Callithrix jacchus: one gene and its partners. The protein of the gene in region 1 purifies or fractionates together with the protein of each later gene. This does not show direct contact. Links are inferred from orthologs where the notes say so. Each region holds a gene or a part of one and is shown on either strand. Other genes may lie near its edges.

Region 1 (5,354 bases):
GCATTAGACTCACTTGTCAATTGCTTAGAAAATGATGTGTTTAAAACAGAAAATTTTGAAAAGTGAACAGAAGATTATCTTTAAAGAGGGGTTAATTTCTAATTAGAACCTCTTAGGAAATGTAATACCCTGTGAATTGAATGCATATAAATGTGTGTATATATAAACATATATACTCATACCAAAATACTGTGTTTCTTGTATGTGTGATGAAATAAAGAATAAATTGAAGAAAAAGTATGATAAATCATTTTCAATAAGTTAGGAAATTATTACAATAGAAGGTGGAAGGAGAAGAAAAGTTCGTGAAGTCACTTTGTTTTTCTCCTGAGATAAAATTGTGATGAAAGATAATAAAATAGAATTTTGAAAAACACCTGATGTTTCCAAGACAATGATTTTAATCTCTTTTATTAAACAACACAAGTGGTTAAAAACTTGACAATTTGTTTCCTACGTAGCAAATGACGTGGAGCACAGGGATTTCAAATGAATACTATAGGACTAAAGAGGAAGCTGTATTAATATCTCTGCCCAAATTATGAATTTGCAATTCAGTGCTGCCTAGGTGGAATAGTGTCAACCAACATCTTTTTTCCCTTAAATAATGTAATTATGCATGAAACACTTTGTAGTCTTTTTTAAAGTTTAGAGTAACATACATATGACATACTCTAATGTATTTTTCATAATCTAATGCCATGTAAGATACACCAAAAGCTTTGTATTAAACATTGTATCATCAATTTAGATTAGCAATCTCTTTTTCATAGTTAAAATGCCTTTAAGATTCTGCAAATGAAATTCTAAATGACGATTTTAGTAGACTTCAAGATGACTTACATCATTTAAATATATTCAAATGAAATGTCTGTTTGCAATACACTGCCTGAATAATTCTTTACAATGCATTATTTGAGTAATTCTAAAAGTAAACAATTCAATGTGTTTGACAATACAGTGATCTGTTTTAACGGGTAGCTAATTTGGTTAAAAACAACAAAATGTACTTTTGTAAGTTTTTCAAACTAAGGCAAATTTTAAAACTGGATTCAAATGTCAAACATCCCAATAGCAGTATGTTAACAAACAGCAAAATTTAATGTATAAAATAACCCTGAGAATATCTCTATTTTTTTCTTAACAAATTCATTGTCATGTGGCATAGGCATTACTTGATGATTTCTTAAATGTAGTGTGAAAAAATCCTACAGGACATGTCCCAAAATGATTAGCTTTCTTCACATTCTAAGAATTGAGAGTTATTTGAGTATCTATGACAAAACAGAGTGTAGGTTTACCTTGCTTTATTCCAGCATAATTGCATCTATTCTTTCAAAATTGCATTATATACTTGTGTATGAGTTTAATTATGTAGAATATATATATATATATAATCACTAGTGATTTTGATAGTATTTATGTTATAAATATCAAAGAAATAAAAACAACAAATAAAAAATATGTGTGTATGTTGCAAACTACAGATATATACCATGCATATTTTTGTAATGATAGTAAGTATAACAGTTTTTCAATCTGAAAGCAATAATGATGCTCACCAAAAGAGATTTATGAAGTAAGGAAACAATATAAGTTAACTGTTATATTATAAAATCTGATAGCTTTTAATGTGAATCAATACATGGACAATGTTAACTTATTTCCACAAATTTTTCACAGTGGCAAACTTCTGATTTTGTTTTTAGAAGTTGTAGAGTATTACTTATTTAGAAAGATTTATTTTTTCATTCTTAATTATAGGCATTGCCCTCATACCTATTTTAGAATAACTATATTCCACAAGTCAAAGATGGGTGAGGAAGAGATAATCTCCCATCTCTGGGACACACAATCCTTATTGTACATTATTTTTACTGTTGTGCCTCGGTCCCTTTTTAAATCCTTCATTAGTCATCATGGCTTTCTTAAAAATACACAAAATAGTTGCATTTCTATATGAAAGCCAGACTAAAAAGTTGTACTGAAAAGCTAGCTCATAATAGACATGAAACAACATGGTAACTTTACTATGAAATATAATTAGGATCTCCTCAAGTTTGTATGTTGTTTTCCCAAGAAGAGATCATCTGATCATTTGAGAGCATAGATCATATCATTATTTGTGTGATTTGTTTGAAATAATTATTTGAAAAAGTTATCACAATACACTACAGAAAAGAGCATTTGAAATAGTAAATATGAGTAAGAAACATTACAGTTAAATCTTGTCAATACTTTTCCCATCTTCCAATTATCCATCCCAACTCATATTATCCTTTATTTCCCCCATGATATGTCAGACAAACTTTTCCTAACTTTTAGGCCTCCATGTAGTTCCTATACAGTAATTAGTTCAATTGAGAATATATCTCAGGTCAGTAACCTTTATGTAACTGTAACTAAATACAGAAGTACCAACTAATCAAAATAATAACTCAGAAATACAAACTATCTCACAGCAATCAAAATAGTCTGTTATACTCAAATGACATTCTGCATATTCTATTACTTCAGTGGTTTCTTAATCAAGAAATTATGTGTTTAATTCTATCACAAAAAAACTCTTTTAAACTCCATTTCTGTTGAAAGGTTTTCCCAATGAAAAATATAATACCTGAAAAAAATATATATATATGCAGTATATATAACATTTATGCTTCTTTGCAAACTACTCACTTAAAATCAATATGCCTAATTAGTGAGCTTGTCACAAACTAAACGTTATGGCACAGTAAAAGATATTTTTAGTTACTTTGTACTTACAACAGTCCTCTACTTCTTCCCACCAAAGCATTTTGGAAAAGTGTATATCAAGGCAGCAATTAAAAAAAAAAAACCTGGTAAAAGTTCTTCAAACTTTATTTCTTCAGTAGGCTTAAAAACAACGAGAAACCAATCCACTTCAGCAGCCTTAAAAAAATAACACTTCAGTTTTTCCTATTCGTTTTTCTCTGAAGGGAATTGCCTCCAAGATCTGAGTCCTGTAGGGGGAAAGTGAGTGATCCCAACACTGAGTGAGTCAACATAGTAACTGATGCCAGGATTCTGTAGAGGCCCCTGGATATTTCAAATTCCAGGACCTGCGCACAAGCAAGTGACCCGCCTTCTCTCTCAAGTTGGTTTCCCATAATAGGACTGTCCATGGTCACTACATATAAGGTTGTGCTTCCAGCATGGCAAGCTCTGTGAATTCAAATAATGCTCAACTGTGTTCTGATTAATATCCAAACCAGAATAGCACAGTGGACATAGTATTTGCTTTTAAAGCCTTCTAAACACAAAAACTATTCAGTACCAAACCATAACAATATTTTCTGTAACTGTTACGTGAATTTACAAAATAACAGAGCAGAAAATCCTGATTCAAAATTGACTTTTAAATGCATTTTTCCCCTTCTTAACAACACCAAAAATTTCACTCTACCAAAAGAAAGAAATGCCCAGAATAATCTATGCATTTGTTATGTATCTGCTGTCTACCAAAGTTATTTTTTACCCTTGGGATCCAATCAAAAGTCATGTATTGATGATGCCAACAGTTTGAATAAGAAAAGCAGCAGCAGAATTCAGCAGCTGAATTCTGAAGGCAGAATGTCTGTGTAGGTCTCATGGGACAAGTTTTCCTGCTGAAATAAAGAACACTCTTATAATGGAGTAAATAAATTTTTCTCAAATCCTAAATTTCAGTTGTGAATTATGATAAAACTTCTTTACTACCAAATTATTCTATTTTCCATTTCTCTGGTGCCAATTCTTAAAACACCGTTTTCTTAGACAATGAGTTAATGACCATTTAATGGTTCTAATTAAAGGCTTTTTTTTCCTGTATTAAATGAATACAGTTGTATTGTGTCATTCAGCATGTAAATCATTCTTTGCCAATAGAAGTCCACTTTGTCTTCTTCCTTATTACTTTTATGCAACAGGCGAGCCCAAAATTGATAGGAAACACTGGTAATATTTTTTAGAAAGATATTCCTTTTACAGTTATAATAATCCCTACTAAAATTTTTGTTTGAGTGTTTTTATTGTACCATTTTTTAAAGTGACAGACTCATTTTTCTATGTCAAACATTCAACTGCTTGCCGCAGAAATGAGTAACAGATAAAAATAAAAAAAACATATTGAGTCAGACTGTGATGTTTACCTTAATAGTTAATTATTCATTTTGTGTTTTAGAATATTATTGTCATAACTGCTATTTCCCCAGCAAAATGTATATGAACTAAAACATAAGGCCTAATTTTAAGGTAATTGTATTTAATTTACTTCTTTCAAAATAGATTTATAACATTCTTTTCTGTAGGTTACCAGCTTTCTTCTCAGTGTGATTGTCTAAATATGCAGATAAGCAAAATTTTCATAGAACAACATGAAAAAAGTAAAAAAATGATTTGGGGGCTTATTTGGCTCTAAGTCTACATGTTAGCATCAATGTCCTTCTATATAACGAGGTACAATATTGTCCAGTGTATAAGTCCCCTTTTATCTAGTACTGTGAGTTTTCTACAGACGTAAACCCTTCTTTAGGCCAAGGCCTAACTGATACAATTTATCAGTCCCAAACCAGCATTAATATCACGTGGGAACTTAGGAGAAGTGCAAGTTGACACGAGACCTCAAAAGTTAGAAATTCTGGGGTTGGGACCCAGCACTGTTTTACCGGTGATTCGAATGCATGGTCAACTTTGAGAAACCCTGAAGTGTATGTTTCTAAAAAACAACTGTGATTCTAAATGTAACAAAAAAATGTGTCCTGGGGAATATCTAAAGCACCAAATCCTGATAGGTCTGAATGTCCTCAGATACATTTTAATTGCCATTCAGTCTTAGTTGATAATCTGAATTTATTTGGCATCTGTAATAATTTCTGCATTGTGCAGAATGCATATACTTCCGTCAAGATTTTATAATGTGGGTGGAAATATATGCTTAAAATAAGTTGAAAAGTGAAAGGCATGTAAAATAAAATTTAGAGCAAACCTAATGAATTTCAGTTCAGATTGTGTCACCACAGTACATTCTTGTGTCCCTTAATCACTTATCTTTCTCCTCTAGTCCTCAAAATAACTACATCTGGTAGGATTTATCAGCCCCACTCTAAAAAACTTGCTCAAATTTCCATTTTTAATGACTGTCACAGAATTTTTTAAAGTGTATTTTAACTTGTTACTTTCAAATACTTACAGATTGGCAAGAATTTGCAGAGATAGTATACAGAGATGCCATATCCCCTTCACCCAGATTCTCCCAAACAATAACTACAATTAAGTATAAAAACCAGGAAACTGACATTGATATGATATGTATATATATTTCTATTGCATCATAAACGTAGATTCGTGTGACC
Region 2 (5,354 bases), on another chromosome or scaffold:
ATTGCATCACTTGTATCTGGATTACAGCCACTCCAGGCTCTGTAGTGTGCATAGCAGTGGCTCATGGCCTTTGGTCATGGCACCTTCCTGCCAATTGGATGAATCACAGGCTTCAAAAATAACCTTAGAGACCAAATTTTGCATACAGTTTTTGGGAATGTGCATGTACACTTGCCCCAACAAAAGGCCATGGCCTGCAGGCTAAGAAAGTCAGATCTACAAAGTCGAGTCCAAACTCTTTGATGTTTTCGCTTTTCATACTCATATCCTCCCATTTCCACTGACCTTATGCTCTGTTCACATTGGAATTCTGGCATCTTCCTCAGTAACCATCTGTGATGGTTAATTTTGCGTCAATTTGACTGGGCTAAGGGATGCCCAGGTAACTAGTAAAACATAACCTCTGGGTATATCTGTGTGGGTGTTTCAGGAAGAGATTAGCCTTTCCATGGTAGACTCTAAAGATCACCCTCACCAATATGGGGAGGCAGCATCCAATCAGTTGAAGACTTGAATAGAACAAAAGGGCAGAGGAAGGGGGAATTCACACTCTGCCTGAGCTGGGACATAGATCTTCTCCTGGTCTCAGACTTTGGTGCACCTGGCTCTTGGGCCTTGGCATGGGGATGCGGACTTACATGATCCTCCCCACTCCCACCCTCACCCTCTTCTCAAACTTCCTGTTTTGTTTTTTTTTTTTCCTTTCATCCTAACATATTCTATCATGCACTCAAACTTTCTGTTTTTAGACAGGGTCTCACTTTTTCACCCAGGCTGGAGTACACTGGCGTGATCTTGGCTCACTGCAACCTCCATCTCCTGGATTCAAGCAATTCTCCTGCCTCAGCCTCCCTAGGAGCTGAAATTACAAGGGCCTGCCACCACACCCAGCTAATGTTTTTATTTTTAGTAGAGATGGAGTTTTCACCACGTTGGCCATGCTACTCTCAAACTCCTGACCTCAAGTGATCCACCTGCCTCAGCCTCCCAAAGTGCTGGGATTACAGGCATGAGCCTCCTCTATCAGGCCCCTTCTCAGACTTTCTTCCCTTTCTTTTTTTTTTTTTTTCAGTTTCATTCTTGTTGCCCAGGCTGGAGTGCAGTGGTGCCATCTTGGCTCATCGCAACCTCCACCTCCTGGGTTCAAGCAATTTTTCCGCCTCAGCCTCCTGAGTAGCTGGGATTACAGGCACTCGCCACCATGCCCAGCTAATTTTTTGTATTTTTAGTAGAGACGGGGTTTCACCATGTTGACCAGGATGGTCTCGATCTCTCGACCTCGTGATCCACCCGCCTCGGCCTCCCAAAGTGCTGGGATTACAGGCTTGAGCCACCGCGCCCAGCCCAAATGTTCCTTTTATACTGTTCTGGGGACATTTTCTGTATGTCATTTAACCACGTATTATCACACCTAGTTGGTTGGTTCTGTATTTTCCTTCCCCACTAGACCGCAGACTCTCAGCTGTTGCTGGTACTACTGCGCTTATCTACAGGGCCTCAGAAGGAGCCGGAGTCCCTGGTTGAGCGCTCAGTACACAGGGTGCGAACCAATCAGTGCAAGAATGAACGTGCCACCGGGTCTTGCATGCTTGCAAAGTGCTTCTCCAAGCTGATTTTGCTTTTCGTGCCCAGGCAGCTTCCGTGAATTGCACGGTAGAGGTCAATAGTTTCTGCGGGTCCGTGGGGAGCCAATGGAAGGAGGATGAGAAATGCAGTCCCACCGCACTCGGGCTGCCCGCGTCCGGCGACAAGCGAGGGATCCGACAGCTTCTGCACCTCCCGGAAGCGGCTGCGCCGGCCCCGCCCCTCGGGAGGTGGGCGTGGCATCATGAATAATGAATCGCGCCGGGGAAGGGCCGGGCCCGCCCCTCCGGGCGGGAAGGGGGAAGCGCTGAGGCTGCCTGACTGGAATGAGGGTAGCTGTGGCGACTGCGGCGGCTGGAGAGGGGCCGGCCATGGCGGTGTGGACGCGGGCCACCAAAGCTGGGCTGGTGGAGCTACTCCTGAGGGAGCGCTGGGTCCGAGTGGTGGCGGAACTGAGCGGGGAGAGCCTGAGCCTGACTGGCGACGGCGCCGCGGCCGAGCTGGAGCCCGCTCTGGGACCCGCGGCGGCCGCCTTCAACGGCCTTCCGAACGGCGGCGGCGCCGGCGACTCGCTGCCTGGGAGCCCGAGCCGCGGCCTGGGGCCCCCGAGCCCACCGGCGCCGCCTCGGGGCCCCGCGGGTGAGGCGGGCGCGTCGCCGCCCGTGCGCCGTGTGCGGGTGGTGAAGCAAGAGGCGGGCGGCCTGGGCATCAGCATCAAGGGCGGCCGCGAGAACCGGATGCCGATCCTCATCTCCAAGATCTTCCCGGGGCTGGCCGCCGACCAGAGCCGGGCGCTGCGGCTGGGCGACGCCATCCTGTCGGTGAACGGCACCGACCTGCGCCAGGCCACCCACGACCAGGCCGTGCAGGCGCTGAAGCGCGCGGGCAAGGAGGTGCTGCTGGAGGGTGAGTGGGGCCGGCCGACGGGGCGGGAGGGTGGGCGGGCCGCGGCGGCTTGGGCTCGCGGGAGCTCACTTTGTTCCTTCCCTGCCGACGGGGCGAGCCGGTTCTCTCCCCGTCTCTTCCCAAACCCGGGTTTCTGGAACTTAGAGTGTGGAAAAACGGATGCTTCTTGCAGGAAAAGTTGGGCAGCCGCCGAAGTGTGGCTTGCAGCCCCTAAGGAAGACTCGGCTGAGATTGGGCAAAAAGCAGCTTCCCATGAAGCTCCCCCTCGGCCGGATAAGCTGACACTAAGAACTAGAGGGAGAGCGAACGGCTCGAGTGGGTCTGTCTCCGTTTGCCCGCTGAGAAGTGCCGGGTTGGCGCTTAACTCACTCAACTCTGGCTCTTCGGGGCGGGCAGGTCTATTAAAAAAAGTCCAACACCGATGCCAGCGGTATACTTGGGCAAACCACCAAAGCGCTGGTTAATTTATGGGAATTTAACCCATCATTGGCTCTCAACAATAACCAAAGGAGATCATAGCACTTCATTGAAGCCAGAAAGCTGAAACAGCAAGTCTGTGTGGTTAATGAACCTTAACAGTGGAGGATCACGTGTTTGAACATTTACTGCCAACTAGAGTTTTGCCCCTTTTGCAAGAGTCTGCTGCCAGCTTCCTTCCACTCACAGGCGCGCTGCTTCAAGACTATTACGGCTTTTGTAAGAAACTTGAAATGGTAAATCACAAGATAACTTTCAATAACCAGGATTATTCTTTACATTAAGTTATATATGTGATTTGTAAGTTGGATCTTTTATGATGAATTTGAAGTAAGGCAAAAATAAAATTCCTCTCCTTTAAGGACTCATGCATATTGGAGGTGATAGAGTAAACTGTAAACGAAAAGTCAGTTGCTTTCTTTAGCAATTTTTGAGAGGTCAGCTTTCTTTCACTGGTGATTATTGCTAGCTGTGTTGAAAAGAATATGAAAGAAGATGCTGTCCCTTCTTGGTCTCTTATTGGAGAAATGATAGAAAAATGCAAAACAACTTATAGGAAGGAAAGGGATGAAGTTGGTGATTATGTCGTGCAAACTGTATTTAAGTCCCAAGGGAATGCAAAGTTAGAAAGTAGTTAGTAGAGATGGAATTAGGCAGGCAGGACTTTTTCCCTGAGCCAGTTCTCCAAGGAAGTGATGGACATAGGCAGGCAGGGATGAGTCAGGAGAGTATTCCTGGCAGAGGAAGACAGAAGGGAAGGACCAATCATCAAACCGAGAGGCCAGAAGTCCAACTTGGCACAATAATTTTCAGTTTCTTATAAATCAGCTTGTGAATATTTGGAAAAATACTGGTTTATCAGAAATGATTTCATGTACACCAGTTGTGAAATTCGTGTCCCACCTTTATAATATCCTATTTGTAAACCTTGTTTATTTTGGATGTCTAGGTGGGGCTAGACACGGCTCGGAAATTTAGTGTTAATAGAAGGAGTAAAATTATAGATTGTGGTTTGGGTGTGTCTAAAAAAATTGTTATTTTGGCCGTGCGCGGTGGCTCAAGCCTGTAATCCCAGCACTTTGCGAGGTCGAGGCGGGTGGATCACGAGGTCAAGAGATCGAGGCCATCCTGGTCAACATGGTGAAACCCCGTCTCTACTAAAAATACAAAAAATTAGCTGGGCATGGTGGCACATGCCTGTAATCCCAGCTACTCAGGAGGCTGAGGCAGGAGAATTGCTTGAACCCAGGAGGTGGAGGTTGTGGTGAGCTGAGATCGCACCATTGCACTCCAGCCTGGGTAAGGAGCAAAACTCCGTCTCAAAAAAAAAAAAAAAAATTGTTATTTTAAATGTGTGCCTTGAAATTGGTCTAGCTAAGCATTTGGTTATAAATTCTTATATCCAGAATATTGAATTTAGTACTATTTATGTAGTCCTCAGTTGAACCCTTTACACCATATTTTTTAAAAACAACACTTTTTGGCCAGGCGAGGTGGCTTATGCCTATAATCCCAGCACTTTGGGAGGCCAAGGCGGGTGGATCACCTGAGGTTAGGAGAACCCAGCAAAACCTCCTCTCTACTAAAAATTCAAAAATTAGCTGTGGGTGGTGGTGCACGCCTGTAATTCCAGCTACTAGGGAGGCCGAGACAGGAGAATTGTTTGAACCCGGAAGGCGGAGGTTGCAGTGAGCTGAGATAGCACCACTGCACTCCAGCCTGGGTGACAGAGCAAGACTACATCTCAAAAACAAACAAAAAACCCACTTTTTGTGTAGGTATAGTTTGAACATAGTATTCAGACCAGCAAAACGAAAACCTTGTAGTAAATGCTTCCCAGTATTTGTTAGACTAAATTGGCCACTTATGCTTTTAGGAAGATGACAGCATAATAACATTTATTGAATGCCTTTTTACCTAACTCAGGTGTTACTTTATTTTCCCACTTTGTATAAGACAGTTTTTGTCCTTATAAGTTGTGAGGAAGTCAATATAGTAAATTTATGACGTTGCATTTTCAAGCCACTCCGTGTAAAAATAAAATTACTCAAAATATGTAAAAACCACTGAAAACAATGATTTAGTTGAACCAGTCAAACATTATTTAAAATTGAGAGCTGGTGTCCTATCCGGGTAGGCCACTTTTAAGCGATAGATTTTAAGTTTAGTCTTTAAAGTTTTCAAACTGTACTGGATTGTCCTTCCATTAGATGTCTCAAAACTTGAAAAACTGCCATATCATTGCACAACAATGCTTTTTTGTGGTGTGGGCAGGGAATTTGAGGCATGCTCTTGCCAACCCCACACCAGGGAAAGCTACAGTCTTTGATTGCCTGTGGTTAGGGAATCGAGCTAAAAGTTTCCTTTTAATCTCGGGGATTTGCAGG
Region 3 (5,254 bases), on another chromosome or scaffold:
CTGCAGTCCAAAAACAGGTGAGTTCAATAAAACATTTTGATAGAGAGAGAGAGAGAGATACCATATTCACATAACTTTTATTATAGCATATTATTATAATTATTCTATTTCATTAGCATTGTGGTTAATCTCTTACTGTGCCTACTTTATAAATTAAACTTCATCATAGATACGTATGTATAGGAAAAAACACAGTATGTAGAGGAGCCAGTACTGTCCATGGTTTCAGGCATCCACTAGGGGTCCTGTTACATTTCTTCCATGAATAAGGGGGAGTTACTATCTTTATCTGTGTCCTCTACTTGCCCTGACTTGGATGGAAAATGGTATATGTTGAAATATCTAATGTGAATATGTTTCCGTCTGTTTCTTCTTGCATCTTCTGCAGTTTCTGCTATAAAAGTTGCTGTTGTGTTATGTGGTATGTATTCAGAACTACTGAATGTTGCTTGTGAACTCTGGCCTTCGACATCAATTAATCCTTCCTTGTGCTACTTTATGGACATTTAACCTTGGATGTTTTTCAGCCTGAATTCTACCTTGTCTTCTATCAAGATCAAAAATCAACGCTTTCTGTTGTTATTTAATAGTTGGCATTTGCCTGGTAAGCTTTTGCCCATCCTTGTATCTTTCACCTTTTAAAATCACTCCGTTAGGTGTGTCTCTTGCATTCAGCAGAGTTGGGTTTTGCAGATTCCATGTTTCTGACTGGTACACCATACCCTGCTCAGCCTGTAACTGGAGTTTCACAAAATGTTTGTTTCCTGTTTATTTTCTTCTCTTCCTCTACCATGGGCAAGCCTCACATAGGCCCCCAGTCTTCTTGTTAGCAGAAGTTTGGGACCTGTCGGGACCTGGTGTTCCTTGAGAATCATCTGGCTTAGCTGGATTCGTCCTGATGGTTCTCACACCCTGGCAGAACAGGGAAGCCCTGTGTATAATCACCAGTGGTAGACTTGACAAGCACCAATATAAAAGCTTGAAACTTATTCTCCTCTCCTGGCTTGACACACAGACTCAAGTTTCCAATATCTCGATTAAGGTCTGATGTCCCCCAACATATTCCTTAACATATAATTAAATGACCTGGGAGTGCTATTGTAGCATGTAAGTTGATTTCCGAAAGGAACCCAAGAAGTCATCTTCTTAAATTTTCTCCCTAGTATATTAATGGCTCCTACAATGTCCCAGTCAGTTTTTGTCTTCGTTTGCATTTTTTCGGGAAATGATTAACTGACACTGTCACCCATTTTATAGGCATCAGTTTGAAGCCCAGTTAGACTATGTAACAGTTATATAATGTTGAGAACATCTATAAACATATTTAGTCTCAATTTTTTGTCTGTAGAATAGGGACATGATAGAAACTGAGAGAGCTGTTAAGAGGACTAAGCAGGGTTACAAATTCAAAGATTAAGCAGGTGATTAATTGAATTCTCTAAGCATAAGGTCATAGGAGTGGTGAGAAGAGTTCATTCCCTTGTCAATGGAGAAAACTCTACTGAGCTCTGGTATATCACTGCCCTGCCTGCATCGATGTGGGCCCAGTAACATCACCAATTCCTCCAACTTTTCTAGAAAAGCAGAAATCTGGCTTTTTAAATGTGAAATTTCCCAATTATTGAACATGGCAGCTGATTAAAATTTATTTAAACACTAGACAGGCCATTCAAAAAAACATATCTGTAGGCTGCCACTCTGCAATCTCTGGTCTACATTAATTAGCAGAATGTCTAGCACATAATGGGCACTCAATATTACAACATGAATTCATCACAACTGAAAACTTTGACATCAGATCCTTGGGAGATGGGACTTGTTTGACTGGGTGGGCAGAAGGCCAAGGCAAAGGAGACTGAGTACCCACGACATTGACTGCAGGCCCAGACACTCTGAAGAAACAGTAGGGAACAAAACAGAGAACAGAACGAGAGTGGACCAGTGATGAGCTCTGTCTCCTTCCCAGTCTGTCTGCTCTTACCCCTCTTCCCAATGCTTGCTGGCTTTCTCGTACAACTGGCCGATCTCTGTACAGAAATAACTAATACAGGAGTAGGGGGAGAGGGGTAGAAACATCCTGCAGCTGGCCAGAGTCAGAAGGGCCCTGGCAGCATCCTTACAGTGAGCTAACTGAGATGAGAACAAAAAAGACATTCAGCTGGGAGCCAAGGAACTTTCTCCCTACCCCTATTCCTGATGACTTTTCCCCATCAGCAACTCTGAACCTAGCCAAATACTTTCTGTTCGGGTGGGTTGCAGCTGTCCCACACACATTCTAAATAAGGGCCAGTTGAGCAGTTCCTATTTTTAGCACTTTAATGTGGATGCAAAGGTCACCAAGCTTCCCCATTTGCTGGCTCAATTCCTCACTGTCTTTATTTATCTTATTTTCCTCCTAAAATATATGTTTTCTACTGAGCTAAAGTAAGACTTCTGGGGGATGAGGGACCCCAAATTTTACTTGCTCTTGGCTGCATTCCTTATAGTTGCCATGGGTTGGGTGATATATCTAGCCTGTGGCATGCAAAGTCATGTTCCGACTCTGGGAAACAGCATTCCAGACTTGGACCAAAGCCACTCCTTTTGCTCTCATGAGCATAAAGAGATGCTTAGAGTAGAAAATAGCTTTAAAGCGTTTCTCAGCTAACCCTCCAAGTATACAGTTGACAGCACCGGGGCCCAGAAAGGTGAATTTGCTTATTACTGTCTAACATAAATAAGAAACATTACTAGAGCTTATATTCATGGAAGATTTTCCTGTGCTGAGTACTTTACGTGGTGTATTAATCCATTTTGTGTTGCTCTAAATGAATACCTGTAGCTGGGTGATTTACAAGATAAGAGGTTTATTTGGCTCATGTTTCTACAGGCTGTACCAGGAAGCATGGCTGTGGCATCTGCTTCTGATGAGGGCTTCAGGGAGCTTCCACTCATGGTGGAAGGGGCAGGGAAGCCAATAAGTCATGTGGCAAGAAAGAGAGGGGAGGTATGCCATGCTTTTTAAAATAACCAGCTCTCACTTGAACTAACAGAGCAAAAACTCACTCACCACCTCTGGCAGGCACCAAGCCATCAGAGGGATCCTCCCCCATGACCCAAACACCTCTCACTGGACCCCATCTCCAACCTTGGGGATCACATTTAAACATGAGATTTGGAGGGGACAAACATGCAGACGACACCACATGGATTTCCTCATTTAATTCTCACAACCCAACAAGGCATCTATTTCAATTATTCCCATCTTAGAGACGACAAAACTGAGGGTAAGTGGTTTAGGAAACTTGCCCTAAGTCACATGCACTGGTAATGATAATATGCTGAAGACATTTAGGATGCTGATTCCAGTTTTTCAGCTCTTTCCAGAACCAGGGCTCAGTGTATAGATTCATTTTCTCTCTCTCTCTCTCTCACTCTCTCTCTCACAGACACATACACACACACACACACACACACGCCCTTTCATGTTTTTCTTTGGAGGCTACAATGTGTTTTCAGAACATGAGTGCAACCTGGTGAAAGCTCCCACTTAGCCTAAGAGGCCAAGTAGCTGCTAGATACGGAGGAGAGTTTTGACTCTGTTTACCTGCTCTCAGGGTCGGCCAAGGCCATACTCCGAGTGACGTAACACATTTTGAGAGGGATGCTTTTCCGGTCTCTGTGGAAGGAGAAGGACTGCGATGACGGAGGGTCTGAGGTGCTGCCCCCTAACCGAGGGGATTCAGGTGGAGGCGTTTCCCACCCAATCTCAGATACTGGGGATCCTTTCTTCACATAGGGCGTGGCTTCTCGCATGTACTTCACTGCAATCAAAAAGACAGGAAGTGCTTTTAAGTACACCAAAACTGAGTTTCTGGGAAGTCTGATTGTATTTCTGAAAATTATATAGCTCTGTGGATCTTAGAACTTGCTGTTATAATGTCCTACAGTTGAGAATTGTGTCTAGTTTTTTTCAACTGTGACAATTTTTACATTTTCTGATTATAAGTCTTGCATTCTGGGAAAAAGGCTGAAAACAAGGATAATTTAGGCTAAAAGATACATTATTCAATACAGATGTAAGGAATAGGGTAGCTACATTCACTACTCATGATGCCATTTTTCTGTTGAGAAACAATGATAGGGCTTTCAATTTAATAGTGTTAAGGAAACACATACAAAGAAATAAAAAATGTGTAATAGCAAAAAAATTATTTGTAAGAGCTGATAGCCAGAAACAATGTAAATATCCATTAAAAAGGAACAGATTAATTAAATTGTAAGACATCTATATCATCATTTAAAAAGTGTGTGTGTGTGTGTGTGTGTGTGTGTGTGTGTGGATGTGTTGATGTGGAAAGACCTGTAAGATCTATTATTAGTAGGGAAAAAAGGAGAAAGAAATACATATACTGTAATATCTTTGTATATAAATTCATAAATATGTGCTTATATGCCTACAATTATTTTTTGGTAGAAATATAAGAAATTGCTAAGACAAGTTAGCTCTGGGAATTGGAAATAAAAGCCACAATGATTAAGAAATAGGCTTTTACTATTTATTTATTACTCTTTTATATCATTTTCGTGTTTAACCGTATGTGTGTATTACTTTCATAATGCTTAAGAAAACAAAACTAGCTTAAGAGCCAAGTGGAGCAGACTGAAGTTCTGCTCCTTGATGTGTTTTGCCGTGGTATTAAGAAGGATTTTTGCCTATTCTGAATTTGAGCATTTGGTCCTTAGACAGCTTTTGAGTTGACAGGGCAATGAGATTCTTGGAACATGCAATACACAACTGCATGTTCTCTCTCTATCACCCACATACTCTGGTTCTGTGCTGCCTGGGGAGACTTGGTTAAGTCCCTCACAGGTATTTGTTATTACAAATGGCAGTGGATTGGAATAAAAGCAAACCAGGGGGCATTTCCTCCAGATCTTTGACAAATCAGTTCCACCAACTAGTGCCTTCTCTATGCAAGACATGGACAGGAGTATGGAGACCACAGAGATGAACAGTACCCTCTATACCCAGTGTTACAAAATCATGGGTGACTACAGTGGATGCTGTTGGTGTCCCATCTAGAATCCTTTTCCTATATCCTAGCTGCTGTGTGGTGAGTGAGAACAACTCATAGCTGCCCCCTGCTCTTGGCCCGACAAAAGCTTCTAAGCTTGGGAGGCTGCAAAGTCACTTCCTCCAGACAGATGCTGTGCTTTTCAGAAACCCACCTAAGAGAGGACATAAGACAAAGTACACAAACCATGGCTCAAA

The links.
Region 2: the proteins of DMD (region 1) and SNTB2 purify together in Homo sapiens (co-immunoprecipitation; 4 studies listed by BioGRID and IntAct, counting the BioPlex papers as one, with this or other methods). This does not show direct contact. The link is inferred for Callithrix jacchus from reciprocal best matches to the Homo sapiens genes DMD and SNTB2.
Region 3: the proteins of DMD (region 1) and SNTB1 purify together in Homo sapiens (co-immunoprecipitation; 4 studies listed by BioGRID and IntAct, counting the BioPlex papers as one, with this or other methods). This does not show direct contact. The link is inferred for Callithrix jacchus from reciprocal best matches to the Homo sapiens genes DMD and SNTB1.

Annotation. Positions count from the first base shown.
Region 1 is NC_133524.1:34,128,478-34,133,831, forward strand, and holds the start of DMD (dystrophin), read right to left. Parts: upstream 3,040-5,354; 5' UTR 2,798-3,039; coding exon of another isoform or gene 2,767-2,797; intron 1-2,766. UniProt on the Homo sapiens protein: Anchors the extracellular matrix to the cytoskeleton via F-actin. Ligand for dystroglycan.
Region 2 is NC_133521.1:26,737,455-26,742,808, forward strand, and holds the start of SNTB2 (beta-2-syntrophin), read left to right. Parts: upstream 1-1,893; 5' UTR 1,894-1,910; coding exon 1,911-2,490; intron 2,491-5,354. UniProt on the Homo sapiens protein: Adapter protein that binds to and probably organizes the subcellular localization of a variety of membrane proteins. May link various receptors to the actin cytoskeleton and the dystrophin glycoprotein complex.
Region 3 is NC_133517.1:76,670,519-76,675,772, reverse strand, and holds part of SNTB1 (beta-1-syntrophin), read right to left. Parts: intron 3,804-5,254; coding exon 3,587-3,803; intron 3,093-3,586; exon of another isoform or gene 3,050-3,092; intron 1-3,049. UniProt on the Homo sapiens protein: Adapter protein that binds to and probably organizes the subcellular localization of a variety of membrane proteins. May link various receptors to the actin cytoskeleton and the dystrophin glycoprotein complex.